5 linked regions of the Macaca mulatta genome follow. The protein of the gene in region 1 interacts with the protein of each later gene in a biochemical or structural test. Links are inferred from orthologs where the notes say so. Each region holds a gene or a part of one and is shown in the gene's direction. Other genes may lie near its edges.

Region 1 (4,088 bases):
GCTGGTCCCAGGAGATCAGTTAAGCCCAGAGTGGGGTGGAGGCCAGTAACGTTGGGAGGTCAGCCCAGAATTTCAGGGGGTGGGGGTGGGAGGCAAGGGGGTGGCATCTGTGCCATACCTTCTCCGAAGCGCTGCTCACCCAGGCGGCTCGGGTTGGCAAATTCGTACTCAGCGGTGGCTGGGTGGGCATGTGGCACTGAGCGGCCCGACATGGCTGCAGATGCAGCGGGAGCCCTGGTCCGAGGTGCAGCCCCAACAGGCGCAGCGCGACCCCTCCAGCTGCCCGGAGAGCCAGGGCTCGATAGGAGGTGGGGGCGGGGTCGACACCACCCAAAATAGTGCCGAGCCTCTGGGGGGGAGGGGCGGGGAGTGGGGGCCCTGAGTGAGAGCAACGAGGGTGTGACCAGCGCCGCCTGGACCCCTAGTCCCCTCCCCCGCACACTCTTCAGCTGTCGCAGGGGGCCTGAGAGGACAGCTGAGGGTCCTGGTTAGGAACGAGCTGAGAAGGGGTAGCTGGTGGTGCCTGGGGCATGAAGAGGCCTCGCTGAGACCCTCACAAACGGTTTGCACGTTTCCACACCTCATTTTCTCCTCCTTGGAGGCCGGCACTGTGCACCCAATTCCTAAAGCACTCCTGGATTTAATGTTCTGAGAGCCACATAGGATGAAAGATGCAAGAAATCTTTCTGCTCTTTTTTTCAGGGAGTGGGGTCTTTCTGCCCAGATGTCGGAGTCCTCTCCTAAACCCAGGTCAACCCAGGGCAGGAGGCAGATGGCTGGTACTGACATGTTGACCATCACTGCTCTCTTCCAAGGACTCACAAAGAGTTAATGTCCCTGGGGCCCAGCCTAGGAAGATTCCAGTCCCTGCCCAGGCCCAAGATAGTTGCTGGCCTGATTCCCCTGGCATTCAGGACTGAAGAGGAGGAGGAGGAGGGGCACACTCCACCGCCTGCCCCCCCACCCGCCCGCGTGCCTGCTTGGGATTCCTGACTCTGTACCAGCTTCAGAGAACTGGGGTGGGGGTGGGTGCCACTGGGTGTGTACAGAAAGCTAGTGAAACAAGACCATGACAAGTCACTGGCCGGCTCAGACGTGTTTGTGTTTCTCTTTTCTTAGCTCAGTGAGTACTGGGTATGTGTCACACTGCCAAATCCCCGATCACAAGTCTCCATGAACCGGCGGTGAGCTAGGATAATAAAACCCCTGACATCACCATTCCAGAAGCTTCACAAGACTGCATATATAAGGGGCTGGCTGTAGCTGCAGCTGAAGGAGCTGACCAGCCAGCTGACCCCCCACACTCACCTAGCCACCATGGACATCGCCATCCACCACCCCTGGATCCGCCGCCCCTTCTTTCCTTTCCACTCCCCCAGCCGCCTCTTTGACCAGTTCTTCGGAGAGCACCTGTTGGAGTCTGATCTTTTCCCGACGTCTACTTCCCTGAGCCCCTTCTACCTTCGGCCACCCTCCTTCCTGCGGGCACCCAGCTGGTTTGACACTGGACTCTCAGAGGTGAGTCTCCCCACTGCTAGAATGGGAGAGTCCTTACTGGAACCTCCTGTAAACTTCTCCATCCATTTTCCTCTCCTTTCCTGCCTAAACCATTTTAGGCACATGTGTATCCAAATGTGAAGAAAAATGAGGAGGTTGCTAGTTCCTCCCTCCCCCGTCACCTGTTTCTACTTGATGGTCCTCTGTATCCCATTTATTACATTTTTTTCATGCACTGTCAAGTTCATCCTCCATCCCCTAACTTCTCTGCAGGGTACCCCTTTCTGGTTTGGTTCATAACAATCTGCAGGGAAAGAGCTGCCTTCAAACTCCTTTGCTCATCTCTTCTAACACCATGGACTCTTGACCAATTTTACCATCTCAGGTGTCAGAGCCAGGAGAGAGCCCTGCCTCACCCTGCCTGAGCTGTTCACCCTCATGGGCATTTTCTGCCTTTTTATTCCCTCTTCTGTGATTTTCTGGGTTTCTCAGGGCTGTGACAGGGCATTGGCCTGGGTCCAACCAAGCCTTATGAGGAAACAATATAGGGACCCCCACTCGTCCTAAGAGGGTGAGAGAACAGGGTGAACATATAAGGTTGACAGAAGCTGTCACAGATAACGCTCTGGTTTAAAAATATTCGAGTGTGAGTAAACAGGAGATGAGTGGGCAAGGGCTTTGGAAGGACAAGCAGGACCAGCAGAACATTCCAGATTGGGTGGGTGGAAAACTGGCAAAGAGACCTGAGCCAGAAGAAGAGGCCTTTGTCTCACAGACAAACCACAAAGCCAGGCATCGGAGCCAGAGAGGCAGCAGATGCCAGGCCTGCACCCATCCTTGCGACTGGTCCCCTGGGTGATCTGTCTTCTTCTCTGTCCCTGTAAATAAAGTTTGGGTCTGATCACCATGAGCCTTAGGTATCACTGTGGTGGCTCCCTGAAGCAGAGAGCCATGTTTATTTAAAAAGGGGATATTTTAAAGCAGAAAAGAGAAGGATGAATTACCTGGACAGAAAGCAACTCTGCAGAATAAGACAACACCAGTATAATGAGTACTTTCGCCATCTTTCTCCCGTCCCATTCCCTTACCTTGCTATTTCTAGATGCGCCTGGAGAAGGACAGGTTCTCTGTCAACCTGGATGTGAAGCACTTCTCCCCAGAGGAACTCAAAGTTAAGGTGTTGGGAGATGTGATTGAGGTGCATGGCAAACATGAAGAGCGCCAGGTATGTAGCTTGGTTTTTGTTTTCTGCTCATTCATTCAGTGTATACTGTAATAGTCCAGGTAGTGCTATCAGCTTTGGAGGCTGGCTACATTCCAGTCCCAAGCTATAATAGTCTAGATCAGGGGTTACAAATCAATGTCTAGAAGACTAAGTTAGGGATAGACCTATTGCTGTTGTTACTGTTGTTATGGCCAGAGATGTGGTCTTTGTTTGATTTGATCGCCTTAGATGGGATGATGGGATGTTGATGCCCCATCTTAGCCAGAGGTTCTGAATCTTGGCCACATTAGAATCACCAGGGGAACTTTCAAAAAACCTAATGCTCAGGCATATTCCAGACCAATTAAATCAGAATTTTTAGGGGTGGGACCCAGGGCATCAACATTTTTTAAGGTAATTCTAATCTACAGTCAAGGTTGAGGACCACTGATTTAGGTATAGGGCTGTCAGACACCTAGTTGCTTTGCATAATTACATTAACTACAGGTACCCTAAAGGCACTTGAGTTGTGAATTCTCTGTTAGCTGTGCAAGAATCCATGTCTCTTCTTTAGCCCATCTTAATGCTGAACTACTTGGTTTGTCTAAATTTCAGAGCTGTGCTCAGTCTTTAATCCCCTATAGCCCATGCGGAAATCAGTTAATGAGAGCCTGTTTGGCTACATGCTTGAGAGTCAGCAGGCATACGGGTTAAGGTCATCTACTCTTTGGGGGAATTCTGACGAATGGAACAGCTTTTCATGACTTTGTAAGAGGGCTTTAAAATTCCTTCTCACCAATTAACGATAGCTCAGCGATAGCTCAGAACCTGTGCGTCAACCAGTACAGTTTGTCCTTAGTAATGTCCTCAGGCTGTTTCAATTTTGCTCATATGATTTAGGTTTGGGTCATAGTCTCCTTGGATGGAGTCTTTTTTTTTTTTTTTTTTTTTTTTTTTTTTCCCCAGCAGCAGTCCTATTGTTCTGGAACCTTCTGGGACATTCCTGAAGAGTCAGGACAATTTCAGGGCTTCCTCAGGGACTCAGATTCTAAATGAGATTCCAAATTCTGTAGGCCCAGTCAACATTATCTAAACCTTTGGGAAATACTCCTAAACATATCTATGCCTCAGGGTTTGAAAAACAATGAAGTGTTGTACTGTTTCAGACTTCTCAGATTCTCACTGGTAGGAGTGACTACCTAGGTAACTTCATCTTAGCCACAACCCTGAAACAAAGCACTGTTTATTTTTCCTATGTTGTCATGGCATTTGGTCTCACCTAAGGGGAAATCAGGATGCCTGAGTTCTGGGCAGGTGATAGTAGTTCATATTCTTATCTCTCTGCCTCTTTCCTCATTCTTTTGGGTTAGGATGAACATGGTTTCAT
Region 2 (4,169 bases), on another chromosome or scaffold:
ACTGTCCAAAAATAATTATCTCACATTGGTCTGGTAATGAGACCTAAAATATCGCATTTTATTTACCTATTTGACTCAAAGCACCAGGTCTCAAAGAGGTCACTGTTATACTATAAATATGTCATATGAAATAATATATTAAATAATTGTTGTAATAGCCTATTGAAGTACTAGTTGTAATAAGACACAATGGAAAACTTACACTATTAACAATAATAAAAAGAAACAACAAAAAGCAATAAAAAACAAACCACCGATTCATGCAATGACATGAATCACCTCACAAATACTATGCTGAGTAAAAGAAGTCAGACAGATATAAAAAAGTTTATACTACGTGATTAGACTTTTATGACATTCTAGAATATGCACATGAAGGGTGCAAGGTAACTGTCTGGAGTGATGAAAATGTCCTGTGTCTTCAAAATAGTGTGGGTTACACCAATGCATGGTTTTTTCAAAACTGATTTAAAGGGACACAACATCTGAGCATTTCACTAGGTGTAAATTACACTGAAATTTAAAAGAATCGTCTAATGACATTGTGGTTATTTTTAAACAGTTCTTAAATTTTGTGGATGCATACTGAATGTTTACAGTTGAAAAGATGTATATAAAGCTTGAATTTTGTGAAAAAAAATAGGGAGGATTGGTAGTGATAAAGTGAGTGGACTTATGAATGAGACATGATATGCCATGCATAGAAAAAATGTAAAAGTTGGGTGATATTCACATGGGAGTCCTTTATTCTTTCTACTTTTGCGTATGTTTGAATATTTCCCATAACAAAAAGTTGAATATAGGGCGATCACCTGAGTTCATCTCCTCATTTACAAAAAATAAAACTGGAAACAGAAGGAGAACATAACTTGTTCAAGGTCTCCAAGCCAGACAACAAACTAGCTCCCAAGTCCAACCTTCTTGCTCTGGTCCTAAGCAAACACAAACTATTAATATGAGCTACTGCGTTATGGAAAGTCTGTTTTTCCAAAGGGCAGACCAATAGTTCAAGGAAGAGTTTAAGTAATAAAAATTTGTAATCTTACTTTCATGTTTTTCTATTTTCCACTGAACACATAGGCATTATCTTCTATATGTCTTTCATGTATAATCATTTGTTTACTATTCCTTGTGGTTTTAAAGTTGTTTTGTATGTTTACATTTGATTTTACTCAAATTTCAGAATCCAAATGAGTGCAAGAATCAGACAAAGCATTAGCTACAAACATAAAAACAATTTTTAAAAAACACAGCAAAAACGAGCTGTTGTCCCCGCCCCCCCCGCCGGCCCCCACCAGTGCTTAACTAATCTTCGGAATCCAGGCACAGAAAGCAAAGGCTTTCTGCTAGTGGGAGGAGCTTGCTTCTCCATTCTGGTGTGATCCAGGAATAGCTGTCTTCCAGTTCTGAAAGAGGTGAAAATGTGTTAAGCGATGCAAAAATTGTCTTGAGGTTCGCGTGTGTACGTCTGTGTGTCTGTGCATGTGGTGGGTCGGGGGAGAGAAAAGGGGATGTCAATTCTGAGGGCAACGAGAATTAGAAGTCAGAAAGGTGAGTGGCGTGTAGCATCTCCCTTTCAGAAGGGGCTGAAAAAGAAATTGGATATGATGGTCTGGTAGGGTAAATCACGCTGGATTTGTCTACCAGACCATGCACTTAGGTCTGCAAAGTAAGTCCCATTTCTAGAGCGAAAAGCCTTAGGACCGCTTGTTTTAGACGGCTGGGGAATATTTATTCCTCGTTCCGCTGATGGGAAAATCAGCGTCTGGCAGGCGCTGATTGGTGGAAAGGAAAATGGTGATAGTGGGGTGGGAAGAGGATTTGCTGAGCCTCCTCCTGCCTCCTCAACCTGTAACTCTTCCTTAGTAGTCTCCGATTCACCCGCGGGACCCTTTCGAGCTCGACCTGGATTAAGAGCAAACGAAAATCTTGAGGATATTTGAACTAAAGCGACCCTTAACGTAGCCTGTGACCGTGATTAAATGTCAGCGATGCGAGGGCAAAGTGCTCTCGGCGGTGCGGTGTGAGCCACCTCCCTGCGCTGCCTGTCTCCCCAAAGGATAGGCTCTGCTCTGGGTGGTCGACCCTCAGGCCCTCAGCTCTCCCAGGTCGACTCTGACGAGGGGTAGGGGGTGGTCCCAGGGAGGACCCGGAGGAAAGGCGGGGACAGGAAGGGAGGGGAATGGGAAAGAGGGAGAGTCGTCAGCCCAAGCCCAACCGCTCCCAATCGCCACAAGAGTGCCCGTGACCCTGAACTTGAGGTGAGGCGCAAAAGCGCCCCCACTTTCCCGCCTTGCGCGGCCAGGCAGGCGGCTGGAATTGGTGGTTCACCCTGCGCCCCCTGCCCCATCCCCATCCGAGATAGGGAACGAAGAGCACGCTGCAGGGAAAGCAGCGAGCGCTGGGAGGGGAGCGTGGAGAGGCGCTGACAAATCAGCGGTGGGGGCGGAGAGCCGAGGAGAAGGAGAAGGAGGAGGACGAGGAGGAGGAGGACGGCGACGACCAGAAGGGGCCCGAGAGAGGGGGCGAGCGACCGAGCGCCGCGACGCGGGAGTGAGGTGCGTGCGGGCTGCAGCGCAGACCCCGGCCCGGCCCCTCCGAGAGCGTCCTGAGCGCTCCCTCACGCCTTCCCTTCAAACCTTCTGCCTTTTTCTCCATCCTCGTGAGCGGAGAACTGGGAGTGGCCATTCGACGACAGGTTAGCGGGTTTGCCTCCCACGCCCCCAGCCTCCCGTCGTCGGCTCACAGCGGCCTCCTCTGGGGACCGTCCCCCTCCCGGTGCCGCCTCCGCCCTTCCTGTGCGCTCCTTTTCCTCCTTCTTCCCTATTAAATATTATTTGGGAATTGTTTAATTTTTTTTTTTTTTAAAGAGAGGTAGGGAGGAATCGGAGTTGTGGAGAAGCAGAGGGACACAGGTAAGTACCTGTGGATCTAAACGGGCGTCTTTGGAAATCCTGGAGAAAGCCGGGTGGGAGAGGAATGGTCGTGGGCACCAGGAGGGGGTGGTGCTGCGGTGAGGACCTGCTGTGCCAGGTCTCTGGGAGGTGAGTACTTGTCCCTTTGGGGAGCCTAAGGAAAGAGACTTGACCTGGCTTTCGTCCTGTCAAGGGCTTCTCCCCAAGGGCTGAGAGATTAGGATGCGTCTCCGGGATCCGCTTTTCCCCGGGAAACGCGAGGATGCTCCCTGGAGCGTAAGCATCCAACTTTTATTTCTCTCTTACCTGAAATCCGTCTGCCCGCTCTCTTGGTTTTTCTCTGTAAAGTAAGCAAGCTGCCTTTGGCAAATAATGAAATGGAAGTGCAGGGAGGCCAAGTCAACAGGTGGTAAAGGGTTAACAAGTGCTGGCGCGGGGTCCGCTAGGGTGGATGCTGAGAACGCCCCCTCGGGTGGCTGGCGCAGGGTTAGAGACGGCCCGCGAGTGTGAGCGCCGCCTGCTCAGGGTAGATATCTGAGGGCGGGGGTGGATGCTCGGATGTATTAGAACCAGCACCCTTGGGCTCGCTGTTTGCCTGAGGTTGAACCACACCCAGAGTGAGTAGTTAGTTCTCTTGCCTACGCCTCTCCACCATCAACCTGTTAGCCTTCTTCTGGGATTCATGTTAAGGATGCCCCAGACCCTAAGCCTCCAGCTTCCATGCTTCTAACTCACACTGTTACCCTTTAGACCCCGGGAAGTTAAAACAGGAGTGACTCTTTTCATGCAACTCCACTTCTGAAATGCAGTATTAACAACTCAGAGGATTCATCCTAATCCATGGTTAGGTGGCTAGACTTTTACTAGCCAAGATGGATGGGAGATGCTAAATTTTTAATGCCAGAGCTAAAAATGTCTGCTTTGTCCAATGGTTAAATGAGTGTACACTTAAAAGAGTCTCACACTTTGGAGGGTTTCTCATGATTTTTCAGTGTTTTTTGTTTATTTTCCCCCAAAAGTTCTCATTCAAAGTGTATTTTATGTTCTCCAGTGTGGTGTAAAGGAATTCATTAGCCATGGATGTATTCATGAAAGGACTTTCAAAGGCCAAGGAGGGAGTTGTGGCTGCTGCTGAGAAAACCAAACAGGGTGTGGCAGAAGCAGCAGGAAAGACAAAAGAGGGTGTTCTCTATGTAGGTAGGTAAACCCCAAATGTCACTTTGGTGTTGGTTCATGACTGATGGGTTAGGATAA
Region 3 (4,192 bases), about 110 Mb from region 1:
ACTGTTAAGAGGATACGGTGGTTTGATGACACTAAACTATATTCAAAAGGAAGTAAATGAACAGTTTTCTTAATTTGGGGCAGGTACTATTAAAATAACAAAAACAAAAGTTAAGACAGTAAAATGTCCTTTTATTTTTTAATGCACCAAAGAGACAGAACCTGTTATTTTAAAAACTATGTATTTTAATTTACATCTGCTTAAGTTTGCGGTAGTGGGGACCCTCTCATGAAACCACGAACACCTATCGATTTTGCTAAAAATCAGATCAGTACACTCATTTGTTTAATTGATAATTGTTCTGAATTATGCCCGCTCCTGCCAGCCCCCTCATGCTCACGAATTTAGTCCCAGGGCAAACTCTAAAGGTGAAGGGACGTCTACACCCCCAACAAAACCAATTAGGAACCTTCCAGTGGTCTTGTCCCAGGCTGAGGCGACTAATATTTCCAGCAATTTAATTTCTTTTTTAATTAAAAAAATGAGTCAGAACGGAGATCACTGTTTCTCAGCTTTCCATTCAGACGTGTGTTTCTCCCGGTTAAATTGCCGGCACGGGAAGGGAGGGGGTGCATTTGGGGATCCCCGCAAGGACCGACTGGTCAAGGTAGGAAGGCAGCCCGAAGAGTCTCCAGGCTAGAAGGACAAGATGAAGGAAATGCTGGCCACCATCTTGGGCTGCTGCTGGAATTTTCGGGCATTTATTTTATTTTATTTTTTGAGCGAGCGCATGCTAAGCTGAAATTCCTTTAACTTTTAGGGTTACCCCCTTGGGCATTTGCAACGACGCCCCTGTGCGCCGGAATGAAACTTGCACAGGGGTTGTGTGCCCGGTCCTCCCCGTCCCTGTATGCTAAATAGTTCTTGAAATTTACACGTGTTAATGAAAATGAAAGAAGATGCAGTCGCTGAGATTCTTTGGCCGTCTGTCCGCCCGTGGGTGCCCTCGTGGCGTTCTTGGAAATGCGCCCATTCTGCCGGCTTGGATATGGGGTGTCGCCGCGCCCTAGAGTCCCCCCTTCTCGTGGTCTCCCCAGGCTGCGTGTGGCCTGCCGGCCTTCCTAGTGGTCCCCTACTGCAGAGCCACCACCACCTCACCCCCTAAATCCCAGGGAACCCACTCGAGGCGGACGGGGCCCCCTGCACCCCTCTTCCCTGGCGGGGAGAAAGGCTGCAGCGGGGCGATTTGCATTTCTATGAAAACCGGACTACGGGGGCAACTCCGCCGCAGGGCAGGCGCGGCGCCTCGGGGATGGCTTTTGGGCTCTGCCCCTCGCTGCTCCCGGCGTTTGGCGCCCGCGCCCCCTCCCCCTGCGCCCGCCCCCGCCCCCCTCCCGCTCCCATTCTCTGCCCGGCTTTGATCTCTGCTTAACAACAGTAACGTCACACGGACTACAGGGGAGTTTTGTTGAAGTTGCAAAGTCCTGGAGCCTCCAGAGGGCTGTCGGCGCAGTAGCAGCGAGCAGCAGAGTCCGCACGCTCCGGCGAGGGGCAGAATAGCGCGAGGGAGCGCGGGGCAGCAGAAGCGAGAGCCGAGCGCGGACCCAGCCCGGACCCACAGCCCTCCCTAGCTGCCCAGGCAGAGCCCCAGCCATGGAACACCAGCTCCTGTGCTGCGAAGTGGAAACCATCCGCCGCGCGTACCCCGATGCCAACCTCCTCAACGACCGGGTGCTGCGGGCCATGCTGAAGGCGGAGGAGACCTGCGCGCCCTCGGTGTCCTACTTCAAATGTGTGCAGAAGGAGGTCCTGCCGTCCATGCGGAAGATCGTCGCCACCTGGATGCTGGAGGTGCGGGGCTTTGGGCGGCTCTCTTAAGACTTCCCTGCAACTTGTTGCCCAGACCCACGTTTCTTTGCTCCTCACCCCCCTCCCTTCTCTCCCGCTAGAACTTTGAAGTTTGCTGTGGTGTTGCTAGGGATCCGCATTTTAAAAATAAAAATTGTGGGTATTTTCTGAAGCAGGAAGGGGTGGGGGTGGGGGTGCTATAAGTTGCGTTTCGTGGGAGGGGAGAAGGGGGTTGGGGAGGGGTGCCGTCGGGAGAAGCCAGTGTCGGGGCACCCCAATGGGCCCGAGGGTGCGGGCTGGCAGGCTGAGTGCGCTTTGTGCCCCCCGCCTGCGCCCCAGCCCGGCTGCGCCTCCTCTCGCGGCCGCTGCGGCCGAGAGCCGCCAACTCCGGGGGGAGGGGGCATAGATTTGATTTTTAAATTAATATCCATGGACACGTATGCAAGGGCCGCTCGTGCCAGTATTATGCGCCATCTTTGCTCTTTTATTGCAAAGCAAAAGTGTTTATTAATAATTGGGGGCAGGGTGGGGGCGGGGAGCGGCCGCCGGGCGCTGGGGCCGCAGCTAGGGGCCGCGCGGCCGCCGGGAGCCCGCGGGAGGGGCGCAGGGACGCGGCATGGGGAGTTTTGGGGGGACCCCGCTCGGGAAGGGGGGCCCTTTGTTTAAGCAGCGAGTCCCGGGGCGCCCCAAATGGGCAGCCAGGGCCGGAGAGCACGCCGAGCTGCAAGGTCGCGTGGCCCCCAAGACGCCAGGGCTTGATCCCCGTCTGCAGGGATCTCGGCTTGGGGGACCTTCTCTGAGGGAGCCGGGGGCCTGGGAGCACATTTTCAGACCTTCGGTGGGCGCCTGAGGGGCCCGCAAGTATTTTTAAATAATTTTTGAAAGTGCGGCGTGGTGCCCTTGCGAGAGGGAAACGCCGCCCGCGCCCAGGGGGAAGGGGGGCCCCGGAGTTTGAATTCCTGGGGCTCCCCCCGGAGCCTGTAACGAACTCCCGACCCTCGGCCTGGGTAAAGGGTCGCCCGAGGGTCATTTTCAGGGTTTTTTTATGCACTTAGTTATTTTTTTAATATTTTTAAATATTTTTTGAAAAGATGACGTCTGGGGAAATGCGGCGCGGCGGCCTGGGACGCCACCTTTGTGTCTCGCAGGCGCGGCGCCCAACCCCGCGGCCCGTTCCGCGGCCCCGCACCCCAGTGGGTGTCGACCCTCAGTCAGAGGGACCACGGAGCTCCAGGGCGGGCCGGGGTCCCCAGGGCTGGCAGCCCGCGCCGCCGCGCACGCCGCCCAGCTGTGCCCGCTCCCGCCCCCACCGTGCCAGCCTCGCGGGGACTTTCCCTTTCAGTTTCGGGGAGGGTGGGTACTGGGGACGCGCGGGGGAGGGGGCGCATCACAGGAAGGTCCTTCCGCCCCCGGCCCCCACCCCTCGGCGCCCTTCAGAACTGGCGGTCCTGCCGAGCGCGATGGGGGGGTGCGGGGGCGGGGGTGGGGCGGCGCGACCTGGCGGCGGCGGTCACGGGCCCCGTGCCTCCGCAGGTCTGCGAGGAGCAGAAGTGCGAGGAGGAGGTCTTCCCGCTGGCCATGAACTACCTGGACCGCTTCCTGTCGCTGGAGCCCGTGAAAAAGAGCCGCCTGCAGCTGCTGGGGGCCACCTGCATGTTCGTGGCCTCTAAGATGAAGGAGACCATCCCCCTGACGGCCGAGAAGCTGTGCATCTACACCGACAACTCCATCCGGCCCGAAGAGCTGCTGGTAACCGCGGGACCCCGCCGCCCCCTGCCCCCCGAGAGTCGCACGCAGGATCACGGGGCCGGGGAAGGTGCAGGCAGTGGCGGCCGGCCCGCCTCTGGCATATCTGCTCCCAGGGAGGGCGGCCCCGCCGCCGGGCGTCCCTGTCCCGGGAGCGGGCGGGATCCTAGCCGCCCCCGTCCCACCGCCCCCAAGTCGCTTGCCTGCGACTCCCACCGCGTTCGCGCCCGGCAGTGTGGCCGAAAAGTGGGCGGCGCGCGCCCTCCAGCGGCTGCACGAGGAGCGCCGCGCTCCGCACTGAGCCTCCTGTTTCAGGTGGTGGGAGGTCTTTTTGTTTCCACTTGCAGAGTCTTTTCACGCAGCGGGCACCTTTTCTGTTTTGATCTGGGATCGCGTGTTGCCCCGGCTCCCCGATACCACCCCCATCATTCGCCAGCCCTCCCCTCCCACCTCCAGGACCGCACGAGACGCAGGAGCCAGTGCTCTGAGCCGGAGGTGCTGCATGGCCCCGGGCCCCCATGCTGCCGGCTTCCCCGCGCCCCCGGGCCGGCCCGCACCTCCCCTGATGGCCGCTCACCCTGTGTTCGCAGCAAATGGAGCTGCTCCTGGTGAACAAGCTCAAGTGGAACCTGGCCGCCATGACCCCGCACGATTTCAT
Region 4 (4,051 bases), on another chromosome or scaffold:
AGGAGGTATTCAGAGGGTTGCCTTCTTCCCCTTCCTACTGCTGCCCAACGATGGCCCGCAGGCTGAAAGAGCCCTTTCCTCCTGGAACTGACATGGGACCTGGCCTGTTTGGGAGCAGAATGGTGAAAGGAATTAACATTAAAGACAAAGGGACAGGCAGTCAAGGTAATTTGAGGAGGAAAAATTGCTTCATTTCTAGGCTCCTTCCCCTTTTGAAACAGATAAAGTTGCAACCCTTATATGCTCAGTGTTTATATTCAGAATTGCAGTTCTAGCCAGGGAGGTCTCTTTCCTCTCCCGGAATTTTCTGGGCCATTTATGCATTACTCCTGAGGGAGGGCCAGTGCAGGGCAGTGACTTTAGAACTGGGTTTGAGTCTGGGCTCTGCCATTATAAATATTGTGACCTTAGGCAAGTCACTTGATCGTTCTCTGTCTTAGTTTCTTCATCTGGAAAAGAGGTGAAAATAGCACTGTTGTGGTGGCTGTGGGAAAGTATTTCTTTCTTTTCTTGTGGAAAAGTATTTAATTCAAACCTTTCAAGTAAAGCATTTAACACATGTCTAATATATAGGAGTTATTCAATAAATGGTTTAATTCTTTTTTGAAAACCCCAAAAGTTATAGCTCCAAAATTTTAAAAGAAAATTACAAAAGTAAAAGGAATATTTAATAAAATAGCTACAGAGAGACTCATGTCTGCTAGTCAACTACAATTGAAGTCAACTCTTACATAGTTATATATAAATACAGCATAAAAAAGATTCCCAAGAATACAATGAACCATTTTTTCTCAATAGAGTTCAGAATTATAATAATTCTTTCACATTTTTAAACAACAAGAAATGCATATCCTGTATGGAAGTGAGGTGCATTTTGATGTGTTTGATATGACATGGGGTCTCCCAGGGTCTAGGAAGATCCTAAGGTGGTGTGAGGAACCTGGAGAAGGACAAGAGACAAATACTCATGGCAGAGACCTCTGTCCTCACCCCCTAGCTGCTCTAAGATTAAGAAAGACTAGAGCAGCCAAGGCCTGCAGCAGCCAGCCATGCCCACAACAGAGGGGCCTCTCTGGATTTCTGTATCCCTGGTTTAAACAAAGGCCCAAGGGATGCCTGCCCAGCAAGCTGAACCACCAAAGCTCTGGGGATCAGGGGGAACAAAGGCAGAGGGACAGCAGAGTGCTGACAGGGCCAGAGGCCAGAGGCCACAGGGCTATAAAGAGGGGGGCCACAGAGCAAGTGGCACCAGATGGAGACCCAGACTGTGCAGCAGGAGCTGGGTGAGTAAGGCCCTCAGGGTGCCCTTGCCCTTCCTCTCCTTGCCCTGCAGAGACATGACCAGGAGAGGGCCCAGTTCTCCTGCCTAGTGTGTAGAGCCTTCTAGGGTGGCTGGAGAAGACTGGGGAACTCTGGCGGAAGGCAGCCTTCTCTTGTCATCCCAAGAGGAGTCACTTATATAGCAATAACCACTGCCCTAGCAACCAAGGCTGGGGGGTGGGCATGAGCCCCCAAGAAATGAGCAGGGAGAAGGTATGGGGGCAGGACCTGGGAAATGTTGCTTATTCAGAGATTGAGAATGGAAAGATATATTACAGAGTTTACACGCATCATTCCTGGGCCCAATACCAGCCAGATGGAGGGCCATGAATATCTGTCCTAAGTCAAGAAACCTAATACACACCTGCCTGTCTTCCTTCTTCCCTTCCCCCCGGCTCTTTTCCTTCCCCTTTCTTGCTCTGTGATTCCTTTTTTCAAACTCATCCTACCATCTTTACTGTCTACCTAACCTCTATGAGCCTCAGTATCCTCATTTGTAAAATGGGGATAATGATGATTCTTAATTCATAGGCTTTGTGTGAAGATTAAATGCGTGAATGCAGGTAAGCATTTAAAACAGGGCCAGACATGTAGATAGCCATTGTTGAGTGTTAACTACTGTAACTCTTCTTCACTTTCCTTCAATAAGTCTTTTTCAATGTCTCCCAATCCCTCATCCCCACATGTGCTCAGCATGATGCTATACCAATCCCCTAGAAGACCCAGGCCTTGCCATTGAGGTGCTCACCAGGACATCCAACAACCAGAATAGAGATTGGTACTGTGATGAGTGCCAGAAATCAAGAAAGAAGGCAAGTGGCTGTGGGCTGGAGAAGGCAGGAAAGCATCTGAGGAGGCAAGGTCAAGGTTGGGTAGGACCTAGGAGATAGAAAAGCAGAAAGGAATGGCCAGGCACGGTGGCTCAGGAGTTCCAGACCAGCTTGACCAATATAGTGAAACCCCTGTCTCTACTAAAAATACAAAAATACTCCGAAGAAAGAAAGAGAGAGAGAGAGAGAGAGAGAGAAAGAAAGGAGCCAGATAAGGATGAGACCGTGAAGGGTTACAAGGGAGTTTGGAGCTTGGGATCCTGGCATGGCTGGCTGTTTGGCCAGTCACATGAGGGGTCTGGCCTAGGCGGTTGCCAGAGAGTTTATATTGTGGACAGAGGCAATGCTGTCACCTGAAAGCAAATGAGAGGACGGGGTTACAATGCTTGTCAGTGCTTTACCTGCATTATTGTTTCTGATCCTTTTGTTTTTTTTTGAGATGGAGTCTCACTCTGTTGCCCAAGTTGGAGTGCAGTGGCGAGATCTCAGCTCACTGCAACCTCCGCCTCCTAGGTTCAAGTGATTCTCCTGCCTCAGCCTCCCGAGTAGCTGAGACTACAGGTGTGTGCCATCACACCCGGCTAATTTTTGTATTTTTAGTAGAGACAGGGTTTCACCACATCGGCCAGGCTGGTCTCAAACTCCTGACCTCAGGTAATCCACCCGCCTCAGCCTCCCAAAGTGCTGGGATTACAGGCGTGAACCACTGTGCCCAGCCTATTGTTTCTGATCCTTACAATAACTCTGCACGTTGAAGCTTTACCAATGGAAAAACTGAGGCTCAGTCTGGGTGCGGTGGCTCACGCCTGTAACCCCACCACTTTGGGAGGCCGAGGTGGGTGGATCACTTGAGGTCAGGAGTTCAAGACCAGCCTGGTGAACATGGTGAAACCCCCATCTCTACTAAAAATACAAAAACTAGCCGGGCATGGTGGTGCATGCCTGTAGTCCCAGCTACATGGGAGGCTGAGGCAGGAGGATCGCCTGAGCCTAGGAGGCAGAGGTTGCAGTCAAGTGAGATTGTGCCACTGCACTCTAGCCTGGATGACAGAGCAAGATCCTGTCTCAAAACAGCAACAACAACAACAACAACAACAACAAAATCCCGAGGCACAGCTAGTGAGCGGCAGAGCCAGAATTCCAACCAAAGTCTGTCTTGCAGACTTCAAGTCTCCTTTACCTTTCAAGGCATTCCGTCACCTCACCCTCCTCCCCAGAGGCCACCTCATTCATGTGTGCTCTGTCTTCCAGAAACCCTTCCAACCACGAAGATGGCTCAGACCAACCCTACGCAGGGGTCCCTGGGGCCATGGAAGGTAAGCCCACCCCCATCACATCCAACAGGGCAGGGGTGAGATGCTGCACAGAGCAGGCCCCAAGCCTGTGCTCATCCATGAAGCAGTGACTGACCAGAAAAAACCCAGTTTGTAGGGGAAAGGTCCACACAAGCTCCAGTGGTGTCAAAGGAAGGATCTCTCAGGATGTCCTGTTGGACAAAGGAAGGATGACTCTGGATGCCAATGATGGGTGGGAGATGATACCTAGTTTCCTAACTCCTCTCTCCTTCCCACTAAAGTCATCTTAAAATACAGCAGCCCAGCAATGATTATATCCATGGAGAAAATGAGGGCCCATAAAGAGATTTACTACTAGATCCCAAATCAATTACAGGACTCAGCCTCCCAGCCTGAGGTTGGCTTTAACCATTGGCTGAAGTGGCTGATCCTCAGGCCTCTCACTGGCCTCTCTCCAACACTCCCCATTCTCCTCATTGGGTCAACTCTGAGGCCAACTCACAGCTTTGGGAGTGGTCCTCTGGCCAGGTCCACAAGCCAGGTTTTAGTTCAAAGTGCAAAAAGGTTGACCATAACTCTCCTTTACACCCTAGGTTTCTATGGGGG
Region 5 (4,166 bases), on another chromosome or scaffold:
ATGCCCTGGTCCTTGGGTCAGTTCCCCTCTACCCTTGGGTCAATGACTACGACAGGCTTGGGGAGGCACAAAGGTCCTGAAGCCTTGTCTACCCAGAGGAGTTAGAAAGTAGTGCGGAATATCACTTCAGGGTCGTGTAACGGTCTCTGGGGAGCACAGGATGAGAGAGCATAGAAGATTGCCAAGTGGCCGGGTGCGGTTGCTCACGCATGTAATTCCAGCACTTTGGGAGGCTGAGGCGGGTGCATCACGAGGTCAGGAGATCAAGACCATCCTGGCTAACACGGTGAAACCCCGTCTCTACTAAAAATACAAAAAGTTAGCCGGGTGTGGTGGCCGGCGCCTGTAGTCCCAGCTACTCGGGAGGCTGAGGCAGGAGAATGGCGTGAACCCGGGAGGCGGAGCTTACAGTGAGCCAAGATCGCGCCACTGCACTCCAGCCTGGGCGACAGAGCAAGACTCGTCTCCAAAAAAAAAAAAAAAAAAAGGTTGCCAAGTGGAAGTGGCCCAGAGGCCCTAGAGAATGATGTGAGGAAAGGGGATCTTCGATGAGGGGTTAGTCTGCGGCTCCTAATGTATGTCTAGAGTGGGGTGGGCTGCTGTGTGGAGTTACGTGACCAGAGTGGCAGTGAGACTAATGCCCATGACCCAGAGACTGTGGCCGGCTTTGTAAGCCTTCATAGTAAGGGGGCAGTTGTTAAGACTTGGATTTCCTGCCATTATACATAGAACTGACAGCTCACAAAGCACTAGATATTCAGGCTCCTGCTTTTGCTTTTCTACCCATATCGGGGTCTGTTAGTATCTATAATGTCGTGGCCTCTGCTGACCTCAAATGATCTCCACCAAGCAACTAACTCTGGCATCACAGCCTGTTGTCCACATGATGTCGCCTCCATGGCCATGAAGCCATTAACCAAAGACATGCCTCAAGAAAGCGTGCCAAGGCGGTAGGAGGAGCAGGCAATGATCAGTTTCCATGATAGCTTATTAAGGAATTGGCTTCAAGGACCTTCAAAGATCGAGTCCTGGAGCGTCTCCTTCAGTATTCGCCTCAGAGATAACCCCAAATGTGTTAAGGTCAAAGGGAAAAGCCAAGAGGGAAGTTAACTGAGTTCTCAGGCACCTACTTGGCCACCCGCATTCCCCCGCCCGCCACCCATACACCCTTAATTAGCCCTAATCCGGGCGGTCCAATCCTCCCCGTCACAACTGCTGTCAAGGGCTCAGGTCCCGCCCCGCTTCCATACCGGACCAATGGCCGGGCCCAGGGAGAGTCCCCTGAGAGGGGCGGGCTCGGGTTCCGGCCGGTGGGCGGGGCCTCGCTGAGGACCCCGGGCTGGGCGCCGCCGCCGGTTCGTCTACCCTTTCCCTCAGCCGCCTCCTTTCAACCTTGTCCACCCGTCGGCGCGGCCTCTGGTGCAGCGGCGGCTGCTCCTGTTCCTGCCGCAGCTCTCTCCCCTTCTTACCTCCCCATCAGATCCCGGAGATCGCCCGCCATGGCTTTACTCACTGCGGCCGCCCGGCTCTTAGGAACCAAGGTGAGCAGCGAGGGGAGGGAGCACGCCGTCCCAGGGTGGGGCTGAGGCGACCGCAGGCCCTCCGGCGCCGGGGTCTCCCTCCCACACCCGTGCGCACCCTGCGCGCCTTAAAGGGCCCTGCGCTTGGCTGGCCGCCAGCCCTGCGTGAAGCTCCCGGGACCATGTGCCGCGCTTCCCTTCTGTCTCCTGGGGGTGAAGTGTACGCCGCCCGCCCTCGGCCAGCAGTCTAGGGCGCGTGAGGCGGCCGACCCTGCTGTCACCCCGCATGTCTGAAATGAAAGGGGAGGGGATGCGTGGCCCTGAAATAGGAAGGAGCTGAGACAGGAACCTCTGGTAGAGAAGAGATGTAGTGTTCCTCTGGAGTTACATTCAGTTTGGTGGAGGGAGCGGGAGTGAAGAGATGTGCTCACTCTGGAGCAGTGGCTAATTTCGTCCTCTGCTTTATAGGAAGGGCATTGTCAGTTCCCGAACTGCCTGTTTCCATTTCTCCAAGTCTATTATTTAAACCTTCGGTGACCACGCCGAGCACAAGAATGGGTCCTTCAGGCCCTCCTCTTTGTCCTTGGGACTCTTGCACTTTTTATATAGGAGGAGCTTGGGTGAGGTGGAGCATTTCTGTACAGCCTCCTGCATGACTATCATATATGATTGGAGAAAGAACCAGAAAGGTGGTTCCGCCAAACTGCAGGCCAATAAAGGAAGATCCTCGGCAAGAGATAGTAATGCCAAGGTCACATGACCATCATACTACTTGCTTACCCAGGTTTTGCCGTTGATCTTAAGTCTACTTTATCCAGGAACTTTCTCTCCTTCTTTGGGGTCCTTTACTTGGTATTGGCCATAGAAATACTGTTGCAGGTAATGATGCCTTCAATTTCAAATCGCCAGTACTTTTAGTTCTAGGTAACTTGGCCCTTTTAGACAGAAACTGCTGTGCTGAGGGAGTCCCAGCCCTCTAATCCAAGCAGGGGACAGTCCCACAAGTGACCTTGACTTCTGCAAAGAACTCAGTTTTTCCTGCGGATAATTTAAAGCTGATAGCACCTAAAGGAAAGGAAAGCTTTAGGATGGTTTTGGCTTGCTGTATGTAATTTTTTTTTTTTTTTTTTTTTGAGACAGGATATTGCTCTGTCACTCAAGCTGGAGTCTTCTGGTGTGACCAAGGCTCCCTGCAGCTTGAGCCTCTCCTGGGCTCAAGCAATCCTCCCACTTCAGCCTCCCGAGTAGCTGGGACCACAGGTGTGCACCACCACACCCGGCTAATCTTTTTTTATTTTTTAGTGGAGGCGGTGTCTCCTTTTGTTGCCCAGGCTGGTCTTGAACTCCTGAGCTCAAGTGATCTTCCTGACTCAGCCTCCCAAAGTGCTGGGATTACAGGTGTGAACCACTGCACCTGGCCTGCTGGGCATTATTTTTCATGGTTGGCACAAAGTGTAACTTGTGAGATTTACCTTGGTTCTTCCAGGCACCGAGTGGCAAGTACTAGCTGAGCATTTGGGAGATGCTTGTCTTACTTGGCTGTTGCTTCTCCTGCTGCTGGGGAAAGGGTAAGGAAACCTCTTGGGAAATGAAGCAAGTTCTAGATAGCGTTTTGGCAGAATGGGGGACACTATAATTAGCTCATTTTGGACCTGCTAACCCAGACCAGAGAGTCTAACCCTACAGTGAATGTGAAAAAGTCTTAGGATTTACCTATTGAATTTATTTTGCTCCTTAAGCCCATATGGAAGCTCAGAACACTTTTGGGGTGACAGAGCTACGTAATTATGGTACCATTATTTTCCTATTAGAGATGGCCTGGCGATCTTAGTAACCTATCAGTTGAAAGCCATTAGAAGGCTTTTGACCCTTAAAAGTAGGACAGGCGCGGTGACTCACACCTGTAATCTCAGCACTTTGGGAGGTGGAGGTGGGTGGATCACCTGAGGTCGGGAATTCGAGGCCAGCCTGACCAACATGGAGAAACCCCATCTCTATGAAAAATGCAAAATTAGCCAGGCATGGTGGTGGATGCCTGTAATCCCAGCTACTTGGGAGGCTGAGGCAGGAGAATCACTCAAACCCGGGAGGTGGATGTTGCAGTGAGTCGAGATCATGCCATTGCCCTCCAGCCTGGGCAACAAGAGCAAAACTCCGTCTCAAGGAGAAAAAAAAAAAGGGTAGCAAAGCCCAGTACACTCAGGACTGGAAATCTCCTGAGAAATAAGCAATATGACCAGGATACCAAGAAGCTTGTTGGCTTGTCAGCATTGCTGGCACCTACCTGTGCTTTCTAGATTAGCCTGTGGATAATGGTAGTCATAATTGGTAATTTTACTTTTGCTAATAAGGTAGACTTTGGGAGGCAGTAATTTCTCACCAGTGAGAACTGACTCTTACCACTTTGAGTGTCAGCGTCAGGTGTAGTTTTACTTTTCTGAGAAGAAAATTTTTTTTTTTTTTTTTTGAGACAGAGTCTCACTCTGTCAGGCTGGAGTGCAGTGGAGTAATCTCTTCTCGCTGTAACCTCTGCCTCCCAGGCTTAAGCAATTCTCGTGACTCAGCCTCCTGAGTAGCTGGGGTTAGCAGGTGTGCACCACCACACCCAGCTAATTTTTTGTATATTTGGTAGAGATGGGAATTCAC

Evidence for each region.
Region 2: the proteins of CRYAB (region 1) and SNCA form a complex in vitro, tested with the Homo sapiens proteins (4 studies listed by BioGRID, with this or other methods). The link is inferred for Macaca mulatta from reciprocal best matches to the Homo sapiens genes CRYAB and SNCA.
Region 3: of the proteins of CRYAB (region 1) and CCND1, one has a biochemical effect on the other in vitro, tested with the Homo sapiens proteins (2 studies listed by BioGRID, with this or other methods). The link is inferred for Macaca mulatta from reciprocal best matches to the Homo sapiens genes CRYAB and CCND1.
Region 4: the proteins of CRYAB (region 1) and CRYBA1 form a complex in vitro, tested with the Homo sapiens proteins (2 studies listed by BioGRID and IntAct, with this or other methods). The link is inferred for Macaca mulatta from reciprocal best matches to the Homo sapiens genes CRYAB and CRYBA1.
Region 5: the proteins of CRYAB (region 1) and CS form a complex in vitro, tested with the Homo sapiens proteins (3 studies listed by BioGRID). The link is inferred for Macaca mulatta from reciprocal best matches to the Homo sapiens genes CRYAB and CS.

The regions. Positions count from the first base shown.
Region 1 is NC_133419.1:112,657,533-112,661,620, reverse strand, and holds the start of CRYAB (alpha-crystallin B chain), read left to right. Parts: upstream 1-1,284; 5' UTR 1,285-1,317; coding exon 1,318-1,518; intron 1,519-2,308; exon of another isoform or gene 2,309-2,377; intron 2,378-2,599; coding exon 2,600-2,722; intron 2,723-4,071; coding exon 4,072-4,088. Other genes in the region: HSPB2 (heat shock protein beta-2), read right to left, coding at 119-212. UniProt on the Homo sapiens protein: May contribute to the transparency and refractive index of the lens. Has chaperone-like activity, preventing aggregation of various proteins under a wide range of stress conditions.
Region 2 is NC_133410.1:99,154,546-99,158,714, reverse strand, and holds the start of SNCA (alpha-synuclein), read left to right. Parts: upstream 1-1,362; 5' UTR 1,363-1,551; intron 1,552-2,195; exon of another isoform or gene 2,196-2,261; intron 2,262-2,494; exon of another isoform or gene 2,495-2,698; intron 2,699-2,870; exon of another isoform or gene 2,871-2,915; intron 2,916-3,398; exon of another isoform or gene 3,399-3,532; intron 3,533-3,966; 5' UTR 3,967-3,991; coding exon 3,992-4,112; intron 4,113-4,169. UniProt on the Homo sapiens protein: Neuronal protein that plays several roles in synaptic activity such as regulation of synaptic vesicle trafficking and subsequent neurotransmitter release.
Region 3 is NC_133419.1:5,015,055-5,019,246, reverse strand, and holds the start of CCND1 (G1/S-specific cyclin-D1), read left to right. Parts: upstream 1-1,389; 5' UTR 1,390-1,593; coding exon 1,594-1,791; intron 1,792-3,321; coding exon 3,322-3,537; intron 3,538-4,124; coding exon 4,125-4,192. UniProt on the Homo sapiens protein: Regulatory component of the cyclin D1-CDK4 (DC) complex that phosphorylates and inhibits members of the retinoblastoma (RB) protein family including RB1 and regulates the cell-cycle during G(1)/S transition.
Region 4 is NC_133421.1:37,967,970-37,972,020, forward strand, and holds the start of CRYBA1 (beta-crystallin A3), read left to right. Parts: upstream 1-1,247; 5' UTR 1,248-1,252; coding exon 1,253-1,283; intron 1,284-3,401; coding exon 3,402-3,466; intron 3,467-4,051. UniProt on the Homo sapiens protein: Crystallins are the dominant structural components of the vertebrate eye lens.
Region 5 is NC_133416.1:63,464,806-63,468,971, reverse strand, and holds the start of CS (citrate synthase, mitochondrial), read left to right. Parts: upstream 1-1,359; 5' UTR 1,360-1,499; coding exon 1,500-1,541; intron 1,542-3,003; exon of another isoform or gene 3,004-3,088; intron 3,089-4,166. UniProt on the Homo sapiens protein: Key enzyme of the Krebs tricarboxylic acid cycle which catalyzes the synthesis of citrate from acetyl coenzyme A and oxaloacetate.